2 linked regions of the Kluyveromyces lactis genome follow. The protein of the gene in region 1 purifies or fractionates together with the protein of each later gene. This does not show direct contact. Links are inferred from orthologs where the notes say so. Each region holds a gene or a part of one and is shown in the gene's direction. Other genes may lie near its edges. The genes, in order: MAK16 and DBP10.

Region 1 (13,325 bases):
CATTATAACCTTAAAACACTGTTATGCAATCAACAGCGATCTCAGGGGCCGGTCAAACTACCACTCGTGCTCACATCAGCATGAAAGAAAGCATGTGCATGAAGAACTGTTCAATTCCCAAATAGGCAACTCGCTGTCCCCTCGAATCCCATATCAGGATTCCACATGAAGGTCTGAAAAACTATACCGATTACATATTTCCAACTACAACCAGGCTGTTTCTCCTTATCTTGGGCCCTGTTGTCTGAAAACGGTCTTATTATGACGGACTTTTATTGCTTGTGAGGTCCCCATTTGAAAGGAAAAAACCGGACAGTTCAGTTTAACAAGTTATCCTATTGCTGTCTCACTGTTACCTCTAAATTCTGCCCGGCAAAAAAGGTATAACCCTGCATTCATGATGGTTGCACTTCGTTTAATCATCTGTTTCTTCAAAGGGATTGATAAGATAACAACCTAAACCATTTATTCCGGAGAATGCGCGGCGGGAATTTGACAACCCAAAAAAAAAAAAATTCAAAACGAGGGAAAGAGAACCAGAAGTGAGCATGGGGAAAATATCAGTCACGTGGACAAAGATATACAATCCAGTTTCCATCCACGTGACTGGGAAATGTTTTTCATTACCCAGACTTCAACTCAAAACTTCTCGAAAGGCATTCTACAAACCTCAAATGCACCGATGATACGGCGAAATTCTGTGAAAAATGAACATAAACAATGGTGATTCTGTCATGAGAACCAAAATATCAATAATATGTTTTTTTAGTAAAGAATCGAAAGTGGGAAAGAGATTCAAGATAGACAAGGAAAAAAACAAGGGAAAAAGAGTGGAGTGAGCGTATCATTTTTTGAGGCACCCGCCTAGTGTTTGGATTAGTTTTACCAATATTTTCCTGTTTTGGTATAACGCATCGAACATTGAACCACAAGAACTGTTTATCTTTTCTTTTCACCGTTGATCTGTTTTTACAATTTGAAGAAGAAAGTACAGAAGAAGAGCCTAGTGAGGAGAGAACTCTAGTGAAGTAGAAATTATGTCTGAGGTCGTTGAAAAGGCTGACGAAAACGTTGTGCCGTTATTTAGTCGACCTGAATTGTACCCTGTGCCTAGTGAAAGTGTACTGACTGTAGATTTACGCGATGGTACAGTACGAATTCTTAAATGTACGCTTCCTGCACTTCTAGTGCAGCTCTCATCGCCGCTAGATAAAGTCGACTATTCAATGCTGACGGATTTCTTTCTAGTCTACAGAAATTTCATGAGTTCTCAGAAATTGCTGGATCTAATTCAAGAGAGATTCCAATGGGCGATTGACTTGCGTCAATCTGACCCTAGTTCCCAAGAGAAAATTACATCCGAGGTTATACTGGTACGGATGTTTGTGCTGGTAAGGCATTGGCTGTCTAACTATTTCGCACAAGATTTTGTCGTCGACACGTCGTTGCGTCGTCAATTCCTTCAATTCATCAACGGATACTCTCCAGTTGACAGGTTCCTGGACAATATTATAATTAGTTTAAAAAAATTATGGGTTCAGAACGTTCAAATTATGTGGGAGGATTTAGAAAATCTCATAGTGGAAAATAACGTTGTATCGCGCGATGATTGGCTCAAGTGGGAAATAGAGGACGTACCGTCTGGTTCTTCTTCGGAAACAGGTGAAGGAAGCACGAAGGGGAAGCGACTTAGCTTTATTGCATTACAAAATATAAACAACCCGGTACTCAGGAACGAATCCTTACTCTCGTTATTGCACACCAGAGAGAAGATACCTCTACCACAACAATCAGAAGATGAATCCAAGAAACAGAGCACACGTATCAAACAGAGAACTGGATCAATGCTTTTGTTCCCAGAAAATGCTTCCAACGGACTTTCTATTAACGAAAAACTAACGGCTTCAGGAGTCTCGCCAGAGGCCACTCCGAAACAGGAGAGAGAAATAACAGACCCCAAGAATTCGAAAGATAACAAACATATCCTACCGCAGTTGTCCAGGGTCACTAACGTTTCTTATATGATGAAAGATTTGGAATACCCTTCAACCCCTTCAGTGGACATCTTCGTCCCACCAACACCAGCGAAGAATATAGAGTTTATCTTGCAGACGTCGTACATGGAAACAGATCTTCCAGAACAATCTAATGGCTCAGATTCGACGAATACCGTAAATGGCAATAACACAAATCACAAAGGAATACTGGGTCTATTGTCTAAATGGAAATTAAATCATCAAAGAAAACCAACTGTAAATCCTGTCCAAAACCCACCAAGGGTTGAAAATCTAATAAAATATGTATTTTCCATTTCTTCATTGGACAATCATGCGAATCCATTGCCCGATTCGCTTTCTTCTATGTTTGATATTTTGAGTGCAAGAACTATTGATGAGGTAGAATATCTTGTTTCTGTGGAAAGTGATCTTTTAGCAAAATTAGAAGCTAAAAAACTAACCACTGAAATATCTAAGTTGGAAACAAATGAGGATGAATCGCAGGATTATAGTGTTATTGATAATCTTAACCTTTACAAAACTGTTTCATCAATCGCTAACTCAGTGATATCGCTATCTAAAACTTTGAATGTCAGAACAAACAAGTCAACTACCCATCTGTTATCTCCTTCAACCTCGGCCCTTGAGAGGAAAAATATAAGAAACTCTGCACCAATGCTGTACTCTTACAATAATTCTAGATACAGCATCACGAATGCCTTAATGGGACTACCTAATACCAATGACAACAGCAGTCCAAAAAGATTGGTTTTCCATGATCCGACAAGGAACTCTCCTACAAAGAAGGCCATACTTGCAAATAACCTGAACAACATAGGAGAATATAACGGTGAAAGAGACTCTATTACTTCTATTGTCACTTATGACTCTGCATTTTCAGATATTTCATCTTCTGGGAATATCTTGAGTCAACATAAAGGGAGTAGTAATATTTTCATGGAATCTGCCCCAACTTTGAAAAGAAAGCTGAATGTTAATGACCTTCGTAGGTTCAATTTCGAGAAATCTGATTCGACAGATGACAGATCCTGTTCACCACAAAATAGAGAAGCAACGGAGACGAGTGCAACTTCAATGGAAAGTGATGCAAATGATAATGCTATCCAAGATGAGTATGAAAACGAAAATGAAGATATTGCATCGTTAATAACTGCATATGAAGAAAGTACGTCTGAAATTGATACCCAATGTCAAAACAACGCCCAAATTAGAAGACCCACAAGTGGCAGAATTAGTATAACAAGAAACTACAGTGTTGCCTCTCCCAACTCTTTGAGGTCCATTCTCCCTAAATCTCCTCTCATTTTGGGCAATGAAGTTTTTATCGAAAGAGATAAAGCTTTGGCTGCAAACCAGGACATTATATCGGAATTAGAAGAGACGACATCTCTCTTACTAAATGATAATGACAGAAAGTTTACAGTCAGCCGAGGTTCAGTATGTAACGACTCGGACTCTCAAAGCATCTCCACAAATTTGCTGTTTAGTTCTGCCCAAGCTTCACCCCAAAAATTGGTAATCAAAGAAGTTGATGTCATTCAAGAGAAATCGGAGCATCCCGATGTCCCTACGCCAGTATTATGCAAACAACCTATTTCAAAGCTTTCTGAGACTCCAAGTATAAAGTCAATAGGAAGTCGTGATTCAGAAGAATCCTTTGATCTCACGTCGATTGCTAGTAAACCAAATCGCGCACAATCCACAACTCTGAGAGAGAAATATCATCTAGAAAAACAGGCAACTAATGACATTTTCGAGGAAGACGTTGAAAACTTGAATCCAGAGAATAACAAATACCTGTTTTCCCCAGACACTGATAGCATAGATTTTGCATCCCCAGAAAAGAACCTCGACGATTTAAAACAACAGTTTATTGACCAGTCAACTGATGAGCAAACGTCGTTAGATGAAGAGGAGATTGCTACTCAGGATAATGAAAATAAAGATCATGGAATTGATAAAAAGAAACTAGAGGACATTATGAATGGTATTGACGACACAGCTGATACTTCTATGGATCCTGTTAATCTTGCTTTAATGAAATTAGAAGGGACGTATGATAAAGGGGAAAAGGAAATAGATGATAAAAGTCCATCAATTAACAGCGAATTAGCCCGGGAAGTTGAAAATTTCCAAATCGTACAAACTGCAGCTCTTCCTGAAAGCGCTCGCAAAAGGCAATCCATGTTCATACAGAGAAGACGCAACACAATGATCGATTTTAGCGTTCGTGATTCACTCATTGACAAAGACTCCTCCTGCACCAGATTGGAAAATACTGATGAACAAATTCGTAATTTGTTAAACCAGTACACATTAACTGATTCAAGGCTTAAAATAGACAATTTAGAGCAACATATCCCGTTCATTCTGATGTATGATTCTAAATCTGTGGCAAACCAATTGACCTTGATTGAAAAGGAAATTCTATCTGAAGTTGATTGGAAAGATCTATTGGATTTGACAATGAGTGAACAACTTCCACAATTTACCAGTTGGCTGCAATTATTGGTACAGAACGAAAACTTGTCGGGTATCGATTTAGCCATAGCAAGGTTCAACTTGACCGTGGATTGGATCATTTCTGAAATCGTAATGACTCAGGACATAAGGTTGAGAAGGAACACGATCCAAAGATTCATTCACATAGCCGAACACTGTAAAGAGTTACAAAATTACAATACTTTGATGGAAATCATCCTTGCATTAAACTCCATTGTCGTTCAGAAATTCACTGAAACATGGAGACTTGTCGAACCAGGCGATCTATTGACTTGGGAAACGTTGAAGGCCATACCATCCCTGGAAAAGAATTACAGTAACATTAGACAATTAATAGACGAAGTCGAACCACTTTCTGGATGCATTCCATTTATCGTGGTATACTTATCGGATCTATCTTTAAACATTGAGAAACGTACCTGGATTGTACATGACGAAGTGCTAAATTACAACAAATTCCAAACAAATGTTCAAATAGTGAAAAACTTCGTACAGAAGATGCAATGGTCCAAATTTTACAACATTGATATTGACCATGAGTTGTTAAGCAAGTGTGTTTACATCACATCATTGTCCCATGACGAAATCAATTCAATTTCACATAAATCCCCAATTTAATTCTTTAATGTCGAGTAAAGTATTTGACATAGAACTAGTTAGTCTCAGTTCATTTCACCTCATATAATATATATATCAACACACGATTTTATCAGTTTCAAATAGTTTCATCCACATTTTTTTCGAACATATTTGAATGAAGGTTAATCTCTTTAGATCTAATCATGCATATTCCGACTCTTGATTAAGTTTCCGATTATAACAATAAAATATCATTGGTCATGTGACTAAAAATTTAGTAATCCATTTCTTTTTTCTCTTTCTGCCTGAAAATTTTTGAGAACTGAAAAATATCGATGCGATGCGATGAGATGAGATGAAATGAAAGAAGCAGCGACTAGCGGAATAGCAAGTAAACTTAGCGATAGTCATAACCAATTTAAATAAACTCATACTAAGCATAAACCAGTATCTGTAGGATTGACTGAACATTAGCAGATGTCTGACGAGATCATTTGGCAGGTTATCAACCAGCACTTTTGTGCGTACAAAGTCAAAACTGATAAGGGACAGAACTTCTGTAGAAATGAATACAACGTAACAGGTTTATGTTCGAGACAAGCGTGTCCTTTGGCAAATAGTAAATATGCCACTGTAAAGAACGTGGACGGAACACTTTACTTGTACATGAAGACCGCGGAAAGAGCTCACACGCCTGCTAAATTGTGGGAAAGAGTGAAACTATCTAAGAATTACACAAAGGCATTAGCACAGATCGATGAACATTTACTGTATTGGAACAAGTTCTTAATTCATAAGTGTAAGCAAAGGATGACAAAGCTTACACAAGTGATGATTACAGAGAGACGTTTGGCATTGAGAGAGGAGGAGAGACATTATGTCGGTATTGCTCCTAAGGTGAAAAGAAGAGAAGAGAACCGAGAACGTAAGGCATTATCAGCCGCTAAGATTGAAAAGGCTATCGAAAAAGAATTGCTTGAGAGATTGAAGAGTGGTGTGTATGGTGATAAGCCTTTGAATGTGGATGAAAAGATCTGGAAGAAGGTCATGGGACGTGTAGAAGACGAGGACTTGGATGAAGAAGAAAACGATTGGGATGAGGAAGAAGAAAGCGATGAGGGAGAAGTCGAATTCGTAGAAGATGAAGACGCTGAGGATGAGATGGTAGATATGGAAGATTTAGAAAAATGGCTCGGTGGTTCTGATACATCTGATTACAGCAGTGATGAGGACAGTGACGAAGACAGTAGCGACGAAGATAGCGATGAAGAAGAAAACCCATCTAAGAGACAAAAGAAATCTACACAAACCAGAAAGAGACATCCTAAGGTTGAAATCGAATATGAACAGGAACTAAATTCCAACCAACAAGAACTTGCACAATGATGCGTTTCTGAAAAACAGAGCTCGTCATGACCACATTTGTATACTATTAAATTTGACATATTATTATATTTATTGAAGATAAATTTCCAACTACGATAAAGAAGCAAAGGCAATAGTTAATAATTATATACACTTACAATAGCATCTCACCATCAATAGTATGTCCCCTTTCCCTTCATTTTGTTATACTGTACCCAAATAATGCATTCGAAATAGCAGTCACGTGGAAATATTGTTTCCATGCTGACAGTTTTTTCTTTGTAAATTATACCGGAAAATCCCATTAGGACACATTAAACAGAAAGATTCGTAAACCATTTGCACCATGAAACCCAAGTACTTTGAAAGGGAGATACAGAGCCAGAGAGGAGCGACACACCGATCAACCTGCTTTCCAATGAGTGGCTCAACTAAGCATGGCGACAGCGATGCGTTGTTTGATGTTGACTTTCTTGATGATAGCTACACCCCGGATTTACGGGATAGTCCAAGAAGGAACAGCCCAAGTGCAGTAATAGATTCAGGAATGGATACCTCACAGAGAGGCTTACTCCCACAAGAGACCATTGACCTCAGTGACAACATAGAGAACGACATTGAAAATCCTTTCAATGACCGTTATTCAGCATCCTTTGCAGACACTAACCCTAGGAATAGTGTCTTACCTCAGCCAAGTGGGTTCAATAGATTTATGAGCAATGTGAAAAGTGCAGTCGGTATGAATGGTGGACATAAGGGTCAATTCCAAAGTTTCGAAATGAATGACTACGATCAGAGCAACACTAATAGGTATGAAAGCTCTACGAGGAAGTTTGACATCAAAGTTTTGTTCAACAGGTATATTCTCAGAAAAGGGAAAACCTCTTGTAAGTCTGACGAGCCAAGAACGATTTTACTCAACGATAGTTCAGCAAATAGCCGTTTCGGCTACAGAGATAATCACATCTCTACGACGAAATATAACGCTGCAACTTTCTTGCCAAAGTTTTTGTTTCAAGAATTCTCCAAATACGCGAATTTGTTCTTCTTATTCACCTCCATTATCCAGCAAGTACCTAATGTTACACCTACCAATAGATATACGACCATTGGTACACTATTAGTAGTGTTAATTGTTTCTGCAGTTAAAGAAAGTGTCGAAGATTTGAAAAGATCGAATGCTGATAAGGAATTGAATCATTCCCTGTGTGATGTTTTGGACGAAAGATCTGGAGAGTTTGTGAGGAAAAAGTGGATTGATATAGCAGTTGGTGATATTATAAGAGTTAGATCTGAGGAAGCAATTCCTGCTGATTTGATCATTCTTTCCTCTTCGGAACCAGAAGGGTTATGCTACATTGAAACAGCCAATCTCGATGGTGAAACCAATTTAAAGATTAAACAGGCGAGACAAGAAACAGCAAACTACCTCGATGAAAAAGCTCTCTGTAAACTTCATGGAAGGGTACAGTCAGAGCACCCAAATTCCAGTTTATATACTTATGAAGGTACAATGACGCTAAATGGTAGCACTTTCCCTCTATCTCCGGATCAAATGCTGTTGAGAGGTGCTACGTTGAGAAATACTGCTTGGATTTTTGGCCTCATAGTTTTCACTGGTCACGAAACCAAATTGATGAGAAATGCCACTGCGACTCCAATTAAACGTACTGCTGTGGAAAGAGTCATTAATATGCAAATTCTTGCCTTGTTTGGTGTCTTAATTGTTCTAGCTTTGATTTCCTCCACTGGTAATGTCATTATGACGAAAAGGGATTCTGCTCACCTCGGATATTTATATATCGAAGGTACTAATAAAGCTGGCTTGTTTTTCAAAGACATACTAACTTTCTGGATTTTATTCTCTAACCTTGTTCCCATTTCCTTATTTGTTACAGTTGAAATGATAAAGTACTACCAAGCTTATATGATAGGTTCAGACTTGGACTTATATCACGAGGAATCAGATACACCTACCGTTGTTAGAACGTCATCCTTGGTAGAAGAATTGGGTCAAATTGAGTACATATTCAGTGATAAAACTGGTACTTTGACGAGAAATGTAATGGAATTCAAGTCTGTTTCTATTGCTGGCAGGTGCTATATTGAAACTATTCCTGAAGATAGACGTGCAACTGTAGAAGATGGAATTGAGATAGGTTTCCATTCCTTTGAAAGTCTAAAGGATAAAATGACAGATCCTGAGGATGATGAAGCAGGCATTGTCATTGAATTTTTAACCTTATTAGCTACTTGTCATACTGTGATCCCAGAGACACAAAGTGACGGAACAATCAAATATCAAGCAGCTTCCCCTGATGAGGGGGCATTGGTACAAGGTGCAGCAGACTTAGGCTTCAGATTCGATATCCGTAGACCTAACTCGGTCTCCATTTCAACCCCATTCAGTGAACAGCTTGAATATCAATTGCTCAACATTTGTGAGTTTAACTCCACTAGGAAACGTATGAGCGCCATTTTCAGAATGCCTGATGGTTCGATTAAATTATTCTGTAAAGGTGCAGATACCGTGATCCTCGAGAGGCTTGATAGTGAATTTAATCCATACGTTCAATCAACCTTGAGACATTTGGAGGATTATGCTGCTGAAGGTTTAAGGACTTTGTGTATCGCTAGTAGGACAATTCCGGAAAAGGAGTATGAAGAATGGAGTAAAATATATGAAGCAGCATCCACAACTATGAAGGATAGAACTGAAGAGTTGGATAGGGCAGCCGAACTGATTGAACACGACCTTTTCTTTTTGGGTGCTACAGCTATCGAAGACAAACTTCAAGAAGGTGTTCCAGAAACAATTCACCATTTACAAGAGGCCGGATTGAAAGTTTGGGTCTTAACTGGTGATAGACAGGAAACTGCAATCAATATTGGTATGAGTTGTCGTCTATTAAGTGAAGATATGAATTTGTTGATCGTAAACGAAGAAACTAAGGAGGATACGCGTACGAATCTCCAAAGTAAGTTGAATGCCATCGAGTCACATCAAATTTCACAGCAGGATATGAACTCGTTAGCTTTAGTGATTGATGGTAAATCATTAGGATATGCTTTAGAGGAAGATCTTGAAGATCAGTTTTTGACAATTGGTAAGCTATGTAAGGCCGTTATTTGCTGTAGAGTGTCTCCATTGCAAAAGGCTCTCGTTGTAAAAATGGTGAAGAGAAAAACATCTTCATTGTTATTGGCAATTGGTGATGGTGCCAATGATGTGAGTATGATTCAAGCTGCTCACGTAGGTGTAGGCATAAGTGGTATGGAAGGTATGCAGGCAGCGAGATCGGCTGATTTCGCCATTGGTCAGTTTAGGTTCTTAAGAAAATTATTAATAGTGCATGGATCGTGGTCATATCAAAGAATTTCATTGGCCATTTTATACTCATTTTACAAAAACATGGCATTGTATATGACACAGTTTTGGTACGTGTTCGCGAATGCTTTCTCAGGTCAATCTATTATGGAATCTTGGACACTCACGTTTTATAACGTCTTCTTTACTGTGATGCCACCGTTCGTTATAGGAATCTTTGACCAATTTGTGACTAGCAGACTTTTAGATCGTTATCCACAGTTATACAAGCTAGGACAAAAAGGTCAGTTCTTTTCCGTTACTATCTTTTGGGGCTGGGTGTTGAATGGTTTCTATCATTCCGCAGTTGTTTTCATTGGATCAGTACTATTTTATCGTTATGGTAACTGTTTGAACATGGGTGGCGAAACGGCAGATCACTGGGTTTGGGGCGTGGGTATCTATACCACCAGTATCATAATTGTGTTAGGCAAGGCTGCATTAATTACGAGTCAATGGACGAAATTTACGTTGGTGGCTATACCTGGCTCTCTTGTAATATGGCTCTTGTTTTTCCCTTTCTACAGTGCTGTTTTCCCAAGAGTTAATGTCTCCAAGGAGTATTATGGTATCATCGGCCATGTTTATGGCTCAGCAACCTTTTGGTTGATGTGCATCGTATTGCCAGTATTTGCTCTTTTGAGAGATTTCGTATGGAAATATTATAAAAGGACGTATTCACCTGAATCATATCATGTCGTTCAGGAAATGCAGAAGTACAATATCAGTGATTACAGACCTAGAATGGAACAATTTCAAAAGGCCATAAGAAAGGTCAGACAGGTGCAAAGAATGAAAAAGCAAAGAGGTTTTGCATTCTCGCAAAGCGAAGAGGGTGGACAAGATAGGATCATCAGAATGTATGATACCACATTAAAGAGGGGTGTACATGGTGAACTGGCCGATGCATCTCTAAATCCCTTCAATGATACTCCGGCTCAAGTCGAACCCTCTTCCAATGTGGGTCTTCGCCAATCGTTCGAATCCACCAATCCTTTCAAGGATGTTTGAGTCAAGAAGTCAGTAACGTTGTAATTATGTATATAGATGCGTACTTAGTAGTTTGAAAATAATGTTGGTATTTCAGATAGAAATGCTCTTTACATCAAGGTCTTTGTGAACGAAGGCTTTCTTACCTCCGGCCCCTAGATAATCACTGGCAATTTGTCCATTACCTCTTAGTTGATACTGATAAGTCACAAGGCCATCGAGTCCCACAGGGCCTCGGGCATGGATCTTCGAAGTAGAAATACCAACTTCGGTTCCAAATCCGTATCTAAACCCGTCTGCAAATCTGGTGGATGCATTCCAGTATACGCTCGATGAATCAACAGCTTTCAAGAAATATTCAGCATTTTCAGAGTTTTCAGTCACAATAGCATCAGTATGCTTGGAAGAGTGTGTATTGATGTGCAAAACAGCTGCTTCTGTAGATTCAACGAATGCAACTGCAATATCCAACGACAAGAATTCCTTGTCGAAGTCTTTGGACTCGTCTAAATCCACAATATGATCTGATGTACTGTTGTGCTCCTTATATTGCTTCTTTACTTCTTTTGAAACATGCAAAGTTACACCATTTTCAATTAAAGAATTTAGCACCTCCCACCAGTGCTGTAATTTAGGATTGATTAGTAGAGTTTCTACAGCGTTACAACCAGCTGGATAGTTAGTTTTGGCATCAACAAGAATTCTTTTAGCCTTTCCAATATCGGCAGATTCGTCCACGTAGATTGAACAAATACCGTCTGCATGACCTAACACTGGAATCTTGGTGGACGATTTGATCTGTCTAACTAAGGCATTTGAACCACGAGGGATAACCAAATCAATATATTCATCCTGTTGCAAGAGGTCAGAGACATCTTCTCTGGTTTCGATCAACTGAACGGCACCAACTGGAACATGGGTCGTCTTTTCGTTTTGCTCGACGACGTCATTCACGATACGGGACATTTCTTTGAACGTGTTCAAGGATTCCTTACCACCTTTCAAAATTGCTGCATTACCTGATTTGATGGATAAAGCTGTAATATTGGCAATGACTTCTGGTCTCGATTCGAAAATAACCAATAATACACCAACTGGGGCAGTAATTTGGTATAAAGTCAAATTCTCATCAATTTCCCTAGCGAAGTTCACTTTCCCAACAGGATCCTGCAAATTGGCAACATCAACAATACCTTGTAGCATAGTTTCAAATTTATCTCCTTTGAACAAATCCAATCTTTTCACAAGAGAGTCCGAAAGATTAGTGCTTTTAGCCTGTTCCAAATCTAGTTTATTAGCAGCCTCAATAGATGCCGCATTCGCCTTTAAACCATCATGAATTTTATATAGAATGGAAGAACGTTCCTCATCACTTAACGTTTTCAATATATTGCCGGCTGCACGAGCGGTCTTCGCAATGGATTCAGAAACTGACATGTCACAATTAGCAGTACTATGATCACCCTATAACGAGTTATACTGTCTTTACACTGTTATTCAAACCTTTGGCTAACTACTTTGAACGGTTCTATTGATCTGATAAATGTGACTAATTATTTTTTTTTTCATGTTAATGGAGAACCTTCGTCAATTAAGTCAGATCAACTGCATGACAGTCTGCAAGCGAGACTTGGGTAGATGGATGTGGAACCTTTGCATGTTATGCCTTATGCACTGAGCTCTTTTGTCAACGACACGAGTGGATGGCAATGCTCGTTTTCTTGAAGTATTTATAAAATTACCTGAGGTCTTATATTCATATATCTCCGAATTACCCATGCTTGACGGTAAAGGGTTTTTGAAATGAGTTAGATAGTAGTATTCAACGTGAAGGAAAGCACAGTAGATTCAATTCTTTTTACCACGTTTTGGCCGCCCAAGTACGTGTATTTTAATACATTTATCGAAAAGTCTCATACCCTTGTATTGGTAATCGAATATTGGCTTTTTATCATCCTTCGTGTCCAATTTTATGTCGTTGGGATCTTGATCAACCATTTCTATTTCATCACGAGGTACTTGCCCCAAACCATCATCTTCAGGTTCAATGAGTATCGGTGGATCTTCGCTTTTACTACTATTAGTATCCGATTCAAGAGGTTTAATGGATCGTACCAGTACATTTGTACTTTTAAAGGGAATGAACAATGGGATACTTTGACCGGTATTAGAGACCGATTGGACAGAATCCAGTAGCGTTAAAAGCTTCCTCCAATGATGTAGCTTATCTATATTTTCAATAAGAATATCTAGTCTCCAGTTATGCGAGAAATGTAACTTATAGCTTTTCTTTCCTGTCCGTTCTATGGAAGTAATATGCACATCAATACCATCAATTGGATTATAAACGTCTGTTGATCTAGTTTCCAGGCTTGACCCCTTTTTTAAAATCTCTAGAACGTCGGCAAAATCCATGAAGGTATCGATCTTCAACTTATTGAGTACTTTTTCTTCGAGTATTGGCGAGCAAAGCTCGTATAACATAAATAGCAAGCTGTCACGTA
Region 2 (4,041 bases), on another chromosome or scaffold:
GCCATCTCTCTAACTTCCGGTTTCGTCAAGTGACCAATTGGTAAAATCATTTGATTTAAAGAAGGAACAGAAACTTGTGATAAATAATAACTTTGATCCTTCTGTTGATACAATCCGCGCATCAAGTGTGGTTCAGATCTCTCTGGACCACTATCTCTTCGTAGTATTCGAGCATAATGTCCCATCACCAACCAGTAGTTGTTCTTACCGAACTTCACATCCAGATGATCCATCAACTTTCCGAATTTAACAAACTGATTGCAACCGATGTCAGGATTTGGTGTATAGCCCATACTATATTGTTCTAACATAGGCGCGAACACATTTAGCCAATAATCTTTCTCAAAATTCACAAACTCCACTGGGATGTTCAAATGTTTCGCTACTTTTTCTGCATCCTTCCATTCTTTCTCATAACATGGATCCTCCTCTGGTCTAGTCAATGATTGATCTTTGCCCCAATTTTGCATATATACTCCATGAACGTTCGGGTAAGCTGCGAATAATGCAGCACATACAGAAGAATCTACTCCACCAGACATTCCTACCACAATATTATCAAATTTAGATGGCATGGATTGGACATGATATCCAGGCAACCGTCTTTGTTTGCATAATTCTAAGAATCTTGAAGTGATTTTCGACATTATTCCTCGCAACTTCTGTCCGTCTGCTATATAAAGTGGTGCATCTCCTTCGGGACACTTTTATGGTGCTTTAACAAGATATAGCTGGTACTTATTTCAGTAAACCTTGAGAAGTTATAGTTGTGATCTTCATGTACTTTTTTTTGTCAGATACTGAATTGATTGGCTTGCATAGAAAAAAAAAAACCAAGATAATGTACAGAGGCGAAATTCAGGGAAACAAGTTGAAATAGTTATAGTAAAATTTTAGAGTATGACGTTCTATTTACTTGAGTTTGGTAATATTCGTGACACATAATGTTGAAGTTTTTGTTTTAGGTCACTTGATCTTCTTGGTTTCACACAAAGCGTCAGTTTGATGTTTAATTCTGTTTATGCCGGTCTTGAAAACTATTTCTTTTTCCTTATGAAAATTTTGAAAATACATCACTTTCCAAATAAGAGATGCGATGAGATGAGATGAGATGAGATAGTAACTCATTAATATCAGTAGTGCTAAATATTCTTTTATATCGTATTGATTATAAGGCCAATCATTGTTTGCCATAAATCAACTGTTAGATATCGAACTCAGGTTAATCAAATTTAACAGTAATGGTTGATTCTAGCAAAAGAGCTCTCCCAGCAGAAGATTACTCCTCCGAAGATGAGGATGCTTTCGACATTGCTGGTGATATTGCTTTAAATGCTGATAGTGAAGATAGTGACATTTCTGATGATGATAATGACAATATTGGTTTCCAAGCTGAAGTTCAAGATGTTATCGAGTTTTCTAGTGATGAGGAAGAGAAAGAGAAGAAACCAAAGAAACAAAACAAGAAAGCCAAAGTCAAGGCAGGTCCCATTGTGGACAGTAAGTTCCCAAGTCTTGAGCTTTCGGACGACGAAAAGAAGGCTACGAATGAATCGGATGATGACTTAAACGATTATTTCAACACTACCGCTGATGCTGCGGCTAAACATAAGAAAGGTTCGTTTGCAAGTTTCGGTCTCTCAAAACTAGTATTGATTAATATCTCGAAGAAAGGTTTCAGGCAACCTACACCAATTCAAAGGAAAACCATTCCCCTTATTTTACAAAAGCGTGATATTGTCGGTATGGCACGTACCGGTTCAGGTAAGACTGCTGCTTTTGTGCTTCCTATGATAGAAAAATTAAAGACCCATTCGGCCAAGATTGGTGTTAGAGCCGTTATTTTATCACCATCAAGAGAATTGGCCATTCAAACTCATAGAGTTTTCAAAGAGTTTTCGAAAGGCTCGGATTTACGTTCTATTTTGTTAACAGGTGGTGACTCTTTAGAAGACCAATTCGGTATGATGATGGGGAATCCTGACGTCGTCATTGCTACGCCAGGTAGATTCTTGCATTTAAAAGTTGAAATGAACTTGGATTTGAAATCAGTCGAATATGTTGTATTTGATGAAGCTGATAGATTATTCGAAATGGGTTTCCAGGAACAACTGAATGAACTGCTTGTGGCATTCCCAACTAATAGACAAACATTATTGTTTTCGGCAACATTGCCATCATCATTGGTTGATTTTGCTAAGGCAGGCTTGTCAAACCCAGTATTGGTTAGACTTGATGCTGAAACGAAGATATCAGAAAATTTGGAGATGTTATTTATATCTATAAAAAAGGATGAACGTGAAGCCAATCTATTATATCTGTTACAAGAAGCTATCAAGATGCCTGTTGCCACGGAGTCCCAAATAAAGAAGCTCAAACAGCAGAATGATGCGGATTCTGACAGTGATGACAGCGAAGATGAAAAGAAAAAGAAGGCAAAGAAGGCTAAAAAATCCAAAAGGCGCTTACCGAATGCGAACGAAATGCCATCCGAAAAGGCAACAATCGTTTTCGTTCCAACAAGACATCATGTCGAATACGTCACACAGTTATTGAAGAACTGTGGATACCTAGTATCATATATTTATGGTGCTTTGAATCAACATGCCCGTAAGCAACAGCTCTATAATTTTAGAGCTGGTTTAACATCTATCTTGGTTGTGACAGATGTGGCAGCCAGAGGTGTTGACATTCCTTTGTTAGCGAATGTGATTAATTACTCTTTGCCAGGTTCTTCAAAAATTTTCATTCATCGTGTAGGTAGAACGGCCAGAGCTGGTAATAGAGGTTGGGCCTTTTCGATTGTCTCTGAAAATGAACTACCTTATCTCTTGGATCTAGAATTATTCTTGGGTAAGAAGATCCTTTTAACACCCATGTATGAATCGTCGTGCCAGATACTCAGAAAGAAGGCAGAATCTGAGGGTAATAATAATTTCACCGATCCTAAGGTTTCTTACACCACAAGAATGGTCCTTGGTGCTTGTCCACGTTCTGAGATTGATGGTATGGGTGACCTTTATAGCAATATGATCAAATCTGACTTTGAGTTAAATACTGTGAAAGGTGTTGCCCTGAAAGCCGAAAAACTTTACTTTAGAACCAGGACACCAGCGTCTGCTGAATCCATGAAAAGGTCAAAGGAAATTCTCAGATCAGGATGGGACGAACAGAATATATACTTCGGTAAGAACGCCGAAAAAGAGAAATTGGATTTCTTAGCTAAGTTGCAACACAGAAATAACAAGGAAACTGTATTCGAGTTCGCAAGGAATCCAGACGATGAAATGTCTGTGTTAATGAAGAGAAGGAGGAGACAAATAGCTCCAATTCAAAGGAAGGCAAAAGAAAGACAAGAACTTCTGGAAAAAGAGAGAATGATTGGTTTGAGGCATAGTATAGAAGATGAAATTTTGAAAGGTGAAGACAACGAAGTTGGTTACTCAGTGCCTGATGAGGTATTGAAAGAATTTGAAGATGCCGATGTCTTGTTAGAAGAGCAAGAAAATATTAAGAAGAAGCAGAAGAAAACTTTCAGAGATCCAACTTTTTATCTATCACATTTCGCACCAACTAGTGACATTCAAGATAAACAATTACAGATATCATCTGGTTTCACAAATGATGCTTCCAATGCTGCATTTGATCTAGCCAACGATGACAAGGTACAAGTTCACAAGCAAACAGCTACGGTTAAGTGGGACAAGAAGCGTAAGAAATATGTGAACACTCAAGGTTTGGACAACAAAAAGTACATCATCGGAGAAAGTGGTCAAAAGATTCCTGCAAGTTTCAGATCCGGAAAATTCCAAGATTGGTCTAAGGCAAGAAAAATTGCTCCACTCAAAGTTGGTGCAAGAGAATCCACTATTCCATCGAATCTATTGGCTGATCCGACTTCTCCATCGGAGCGTACGGTTGGCGGTAAATTCAAACACAAGACTCAAAAAGCTCCTAAATTGCCTGATAAACATAGAGACGATTACGCTTTCCAAAAGAAAAAAGTGGAAGCTGCTTTGGAAAGAGGTGTTAGAGTTAAGG

Evidence for each region.
Region 2: the proteins of MAK16 (region 1) and DBP10 purify together in Saccharomyces cerevisiae (affinity purification with mass spectrometry; 3 studies listed by BioGRID). This does not show direct contact. The link is inferred for Kluyveromyces lactis from reciprocal best matches to the Saccharomyces cerevisiae genes MAK16 and DBP10.

What each region holds. Positions count from the first base shown.
Region 1 is NC_006037.1:353,141-366,465, reverse strand, and holds MAK16 (ribosome biosynthesis protein MAK16), read left to right. Parts: upstream 1-5,576; coding exon 5,577-6,485; downstream 6,486-13,325. Other genes in the region: mitotic regulator LTE1, read left to right, coding at 1,038-5,138; aminophospholipid-translocating P4-type ATPase DRS2, read left to right, coding at 6,811-10,842; PRO2 (glutamate-5-semialdehyde dehydrogenase), read right to left, coding at 10,915-12,258; DNA-binding protein SAW1, read right to left, coding at 12,670-13,325.
Region 2 is NC_006042.1:2,294,830-2,298,870, reverse strand, and holds the start of DBP10 (ATP-dependent RNA helicase DBP10), read left to right. Parts: upstream 1-1,241; coding exon 1,242-4,041. Other genes in the region: SLM3 (tRNA-5-taurinomethyluridine 2-sulfurtransferase), read right to left, coding at 1-647. UniProt on the Saccharomyces cerevisiae protein: ATP-binding RNA helicase involved in the biogenesis of 60S ribosomal subunits and is required for the normal formation of 25S and 5.8S rRNAs.